Linked DNA regions of Schizosaccharomyces pombe. The protein of the gene in region 1 purifies or fractionates together with the protein of each later gene. This does not show direct contact. Each region holds a gene or a part of one and is shown on either strand. Other genes may lie near its edges.

The links. The genes of interacting proteins can lie anywhere in the genome.
Region 2: the proteins of gmf1 (region 1) and arc2 purify together in Schizosaccharomyces pombe (affinity purification with western blotting, with the first as the bait; one study listed by BioGRID). This does not show direct contact.

Annotation. Positions count from the first base shown.
Region 1 is NC_003424.3:2,023,579-2,026,804, forward strand, and holds gmf1 (actin regulatory protein gmf1), read left to right. Parts: upstream 1-1,672; 5' UTR 1,673-1,756; coding exon 1,757-2,182; 3' UTR 2,183-2,474; downstream 2,475-3,226. Other genes in the region: protein Ddb1, read right to left, coding at 1-864; cytochrome c-heme-linkage protein Cyc2, read right to left, coding at 2,585-3,226.
Region 2 is NC_003424.3:2,749,224-2,752,750, reverse strand, and holds arc2 (ARP2/3 actin-organizing complex subunit Arc34), read left to right. Parts: upstream 1-1,768; 5' UTR 1,769-1,779; coding exon 1,780-1,841; intron 1,842-1,881; coding exon 1,882-2,773; 3' UTR 2,774-3,027; downstream 3,028-3,527. Other genes in the region: SPOM_SPAC6F6.11C (pyridoxine-pyridoxal-pyridoxamine kinase), read left to right, coding at 20-128, 176-364, 422-539, 599-1,079; NuA4 histone acetyltransferase complex subunit Eaf6, read right to left, coding at 3,204-3,527. UniProt on the Schizosaccharomyces pombe protein: Functions as actin-binding component of the Arp2/3 complex which is involved in regulation of actin polymerization and together with an activating nucleation-promoting factor (NPF) mediates the formation of branched actin networks.

The sequences.
Region 1 (3,226 bases):
CAACATACCCGACTCATCCGCTACAATATAAATACTAGAATCGAGGCCAGTCTCGGGATCATTAGAAATGGAAGGAGAGAACGCAGTGATCGGGTATGTTAAAAGAAGTTTCGAAACCTGAATATCTTTACTTATATAGTATACATACATCTCCCCGAACACAAAAACACCACCATTCTCACTAGGTATCAATTTACCTTCCTCAATGTCATGACAAACAACATCATCCTCGTCGATTTCTTGTTCACGAACGTTTATTTTGTACGTAGAAAGATGCACAATCGACTTGCTATCCTTGTAGAGAACTGCTAAAGATGGACGGGATGAGTTATAAAGCATGGCTATGTCGACAACATTTAACTCTTGAATCCGCACACTAAAATTATCATGCAATGAAGGATTGTTATGAGAAGTCATAAATCGTTTTTTTGACTTAAAAATTGGGATAATAGTCAGTAAACCCTGATATACATGTAAACAAATAACCCGTTGAAATGGATCCACTAACAGCAAAGGTCCAGATTGACTTTCCCGAAGAGACCTTTCACTGCAATCCTGTATCTTTATTCCATTAGAAACAGTGTTATCATTGGCATCCCAAAAAAGTGTAAAATAACGAAAGGAATCTGTTGCAACGATTATATGATCTGTCGGGGATGAAACAGGCTTAAAAGCTTTTACATTCACAATTTTCGCAAAAATATTAGCAGAAGTTATTAAACATAATCGATTATTTTCATAGCTATAGACTTCCAAACAATTTACTTTAGCCACTATTACGTTCCAGGAGGATGCATTGACAAATTTACAAAACACGGCGTTTCTTATAGAAGAAGGCTTGTGCAAATAAGTAACATAAGTCATTTCTTACAAGGGCAATACCAGCTTTGTAGTAAATGGCGACACTGCCTCGGCTTCTCGTTTTTAAAATATTGTCAGCATAAAGCAAAAGTAAAAGGGCTTCAAATTGCTGTACAAATTATCCTATATATTTTAAGTTTGGATTTTGGAAGACGTTAAGATTATCGAACAACGATGTTGATGGTTTTTGGGACTTTTTCTAAATGCCAAGTGGGTGAAGTGGGAAACCCAGATTTACTACTCCAGACATAGCATGGTGCGGTGTAGTATGTGCTTTTTGCAAGAAAATAAACTTTTACACCTAAGCCTATTATAGAGTAAAGTTTACATAAGTACTTAAATTTAAGTGTTTGATTTATTACCGCTCGACTTCGAGCTGCTAAAGTAATACATTTTTATCGCTTCGTCGTAAAGTATTATTAGCTAGTCCCGATGACCAAAGACTTTATGAATGTTATTAAAAAAGTGATTGCATTAACAGGATATTCTTAGGAATATTAAAAAAAAACATTAGTTCGTTCAATCTTAGGTATTATATAATATTTATCCTTAAGTATCCTCTTTTTTTTTTTTTTTTTTTTTTTTTTATTTATCAAGTTGTAAATATAACACAATGCTTAAATTTGCCAATTTACGAACTTCAAAGATATCACATACGTGGATATAGACTTTTTGAATATAATAAAATTGATGAATAATTTGTATTTAAAAAATCAATAATTATCTATCAAAACTCAAAAATAAATTTTTAACTCCTAGCATGAATTTAAATATCTTTTAGGATTCTGCACGAACGGTATTAATTCAACCCAACAAAAGCACCACCCTCGAAATTAAATTTCCTTAATTGGCTATTGCTGTGGTTTTACATAAATATTATAAACTAACAAGAAAGATGTCATCAGAGGCTCGTATGTTCACCATTTCGGATACCACGATGAAAGAAATTGATCGATTTCGTTTGCGGTTGAAGAAATCAGTTATGTATGCTTTCATTCTCAAGGTTGATAAAGCTACTAAGGAGATTGTTCCCGATGGAGAAATCATGGATTTACAGAGTATTGAAGAGGTCGCAGATGAACTCTCGGAAACAAATCCTAGATTTATCCTTGTTTCCTATCCTACCAAAACCACAGATGGTCGACTTAGTACTCCATTGTTTATGATATACTGGAGACCAAGTGCTACCCCAAATGACTTATCTATGATTTATGCTTCTGCTAAAGTCTGGTTTCAAGATGTGTCGCAGGTGCACAAAGTATTTGAAGCTAGAGATTCTGAAGATATTACTAGTGAAGCAGTTGATGAGTTTTTGCATTAATGCTTGTTTATATGCGAGTTGAAAATGAACCTTTCCCTCGTTCACATTTTATGCAATTAATTATTTAAAGATATTTTGCTTGTATGGGCTTTCTTTTTGACATACTATACCTGCTTAGCAGCAGATGCATAAACCCTCAATAACAATTAGATTTAATGGATAAAAATTTATACACTTAGAAACTTTTTAAATACTATTTTTTTTATTTTCTCTCCATTACCTAAGAAAACCGCTCCATTTCATTGATAACACGTAACGTTTAAGAGTTCCCTTATTTGTATAAATTTATTTCCAAATCGGTAAAAATAAATTATTTGAAGATAAACAAAAAAATCGTTTTTGTATTATGCACAATTGTCCAAAGATCGTGCAACCCAAAATCTTAAGCCAAAAATTTCTAAACTAAAGCTTCCAAACTTTCCCAAACGGATTGTTTGATAAAAGTCCTTTGACTTCTCCTTGTCTTGCGCCATAATCAGCCTTCGGTCCGGCAATTGTAGAAACAAACTTCTGGCTACCGCAGACAATGCAAAGGGTATCCTTTAAAGGAACTGTAACATTATCCCAATCCAAAATGTCATGAATGTTTACCAAACGATTTTGGACGGACTTCACCCTTACGTTTGGGCATTCCTTTTCCAATTCTTCTTTTAGCAAAGGGGGCTGACCAGGCCTTGAGCAGTATACAATATCGACTGGGGATTTAACAGACTGAGCTAATTGATATATAGGAGCAATTCCTGTTCCTGCAACGATAGCTACGATTCTTGGGTACTTCGTACAATCGAGTTTGGTGGTTTTAAAAGGACCCCGAAGTTCAATAGTGTCCCCTTCTTTCTTAGAATGAATATAAGAACTAACGGGACCCTCTTCATACTTTCTAATAAAGAACTTTAATTCATTGGCATCCAAGTACAAAGGGGTATATGGTCTCTGGACTTGCATACTGGGATCACGAATTGTTACCTTAGCAATCGGTTCCAAAGTAGTAAGGTGTTCAGAAGGGCTCTGAGGAACTAACGAAAACAAGCTAGCATCGGATGT
Region 2 (3,527 bases), 730 kb from region 1:
GAAACTAACAACATTATAGTCTTCTGTTTGTCATGGATATGTAGGAAATCGTGCTGCTACATTTCCACTTCAGCTTTTAGGTTGGGACGTAGATGCAATTCCAACTGTAGAGCTTTCAAATCATGCAGGTAAATTATTTAATTTCTTATTTTATATTTTATTAACGTATTTCAAGGGTATCCCATTGTTAAAGGAAGGACCTTAAGCGCAGAACAAATTCTGGATTTGTATAAGGGTGTTTCAGCAGCTAATCCCAGTGGCTATGAATGTTTGTTGACAGGATATGCCCGTGGAATAGGAAGTGTAAAAGCAATAATGGAGATAGTTCGCTCCGTAAAATCCAAGAATAAGAAGGCTTTTTGGGGTATGTGCGTTAGAAGTTGCCAATTCCCTTGAAGACTGACATGCTGACGCTAAAAAGTTTTTGATCCAGTTTTGGGAGATAATGGAAGGCTTTATGTCGAAGAAAGCATTATCCCGCTGTATAGAGAGATGCTCCCTTTTGCTGATTTAATTACACCTAATGGGTTTGAAGCAGAGTGAGTACTTTTAAGGAACAATCCTGCAATGAGTTTGAAAATCACTGACTTTTACTTAGAATTCTTTCAGGGATGCGCATAAATTCAATCGACACAGCATTTAAATGTGTGGAATGTCTACAACAAAAATATAAAGTTCCACGGGTTGTCATTTCATCTTTTGTCGTTGAAGAAAACGGCGTAGAAAAACTCTACTGTATAGGATCTTCTATATATTCCAAAAGTTTTTTTGTTCTGATTCCCGTGATTCCTGGGATATTTCGGGGAACTGGTGATCTATTTACAGCACTAATGGCAGCTCATATTGCTGAGAGCCCGGATTGTACTGAGAGCCTTGCCTCTATAAAGGAGGATAAACTTAAGAAATCAGTAGAAATGGCCCTTAGTTCTGTGCATGAAGTGATCCAAAAAACTGCCGACCGAATTTCTGCATTAGGTGTTGAAGAATATCACCCAGCTTATGCCGAACTCTGCATAGTTAATAGTCAAAATAGCATAATAGCTCCATCCAAATTATTCGAAGCAGTATACTATTATTAAATTTCGGATCTTTTATGCGTCTAAAATATGTTGGCCTTACTGTACCAAGGCCTGCTGTTTCAAAGTTGATTTTTTACTATCCGTTTTTCGCTTTCTTTTTTTGGATTGCACGTGAAATTCACAAAATATAGATTTTTTCAGTGTCTTGTTTCGTTTGCCTTTTTTACATGCTAACTTGGTGTTTGTTTTTCTCTTAAATAAAGGTTCATTACGATACCTCTCTTTTGCGAAGTATACAATGTTTTATATTAGAATGCTTATTGAAATTAATTTAGAAGTTTATAACTATTTATTCCATATCCTAAAGACTGTTGACTGGTTTCAAAATTTCGCAACCAAGGTTTATAAAAGCCATGTATTGGTACACTTCGAATTAGATAAAGTAATTAGATTCAGAACTCCTAATATACTGATTAATTTTTTTTTTTTTTTTTTAATTTCTAACATTTTAGATAAAATATTCAGTATATCCATAGACGGTAAAATAGTAGAAGTTTACCTAAGAAGCAAAAGGTAATCTAGAACAAAGAATGAGAACAAAAAGATTGTTAGTTCTTTAAAAATATATATTGAGTTCATGGTTTTAATATGATCTGTTGTTTTCTTACATGTTTGCAGATGCCTCAGTATAAGGATTTATAACACTATATGAACCTGAGTAATAAGAATTCCCGGGTCCGTCACACGTTAACCATCAACCATGCTCTCATTAGATTATAACAATATATTCATTTACGAGTTACTGACAGAAAGGTTTTCAAGGTATGTGAAACAAACAATAAAGAATTTCACTAATTTATAGCGAAAACCCGTCGTCGATTGATCAAGTGGTAACTGATTTTGATGGCGTCACGTTCCACATTTCAACTCCTGAGGAAAAGACGAAAATCTTGATCAGTCTGTCTATGAAATGCTATCCTGAGCTTGTTAATTACGGTACTCTGGATTTACTGAAACAGATTTACGGTGCTTATGTGCATGAACCTGAAATGGGATACAACTTCAGTATTCTTATAGACTTACAACAACTTCCCGCTACCGATGAGGAAAAAGAACAATTAGCTATGTCTATTTCTATGTTAAAAAGAAACGTTTTAGCTGCTCCCTTCCACCGTGCATTCACCAAACAAGCCGAACTAGCTGATTTGGCTCGTAAAGACCCGGAAAATGCCCCTATGCTTGACAAGCAAGCCACTTCTCAGGAGCTCATGGCAATTCATTATCGTGATGAAGAAACTATTGTTTTATGGCCTGAGCATGATCGCGTTACAGTCGTCTTTTCAACGAAATTCCGTGAAGAGACTGATCGCATCTTTGGCAAGGTATTCTTGCAGGAATTCGTTGATGCCCGTCGCCGTCCGGCTATTCAAACCGCTCCTCAAGTGCTCTTTTCCTATAGAGATCCACCTTTGGAGATTCGTGATATTCAGGGTATTCAAAAGGGTGATGACTTTGGATTTGTAACATTCGTTTTATTTGAGCGTCATTTTACACCTCAAAATCGTGAAGATTGCATATCTCATATCCAGGTTTTCCGCAACACCCTACACTTTCACATTAAGGCTTCCAAGGCTTACATGCACCAACGTATGCGTAAGCGTGTTGCTGACTTCCAAAAGGTTTTGAACCGGGCCAAGCCCGATGTGGAATTGGAGAGAAAGACAGCTACTGGTAGGTCATTTGTTCGTGCTTAATGTTCCGTCCCATGTTGATCCTTTCTTTCATCGTATCTTCATACGTAGTTATGATCTTTATATATGCTTCATGCTTCCCTCTCCTCGTAACAAACGTGAATTGTTTCTCACCCTTTTTTTCTATTCAAAGCTGGGTTGATTAAATGATGCTAGCGCAAAATACAGGAATATCAATCTTTGATTGTAGATACACACGTTACATAAGAGATGCTTATTTTTTGAAAATGAAAATTGTATTATACAAGTCATAAATAGTAACTGTTCTAAAGGACAAACTTTGAATAGCTAGTTAAGCCGTAATTTTGTAGCGCTATTGCAAAATACTTAGAAGAAGGAGAAAATAATCGCAAATTGATTTGTAAAAGCTCCGAAAAAGGAACTTCCTCATAAAATTTAAAGTATATTCTTTATATCCGTTTTCTGAGTAACATTATAGTTCTCGAAAAGAAGAACGTCTTCTTCCTTCGTGACTATCAGATTCATTTTTTCGTTTTCTTCTTCGACTAGTTTCTGTCGAGTCGTCGAGGTCATAAGCTGGACTACGTGTATGGGGACTCGACAGGGAAGAAAGAGAAAACAGTCTGTCTGATTCCGAATAGTCTGCACGACGGCGGAGGTTTGATGCATTGTTTTTTAAAAGACCTTCGAATCCACGAATAATGTTGCCAGTACCCGATGTTTTTTCTAAGTAACTGCCTTCCAGCCTATAGATAGAGTCCTCGAGACCTATTAACGAAGTTTCCAACAATTGTCG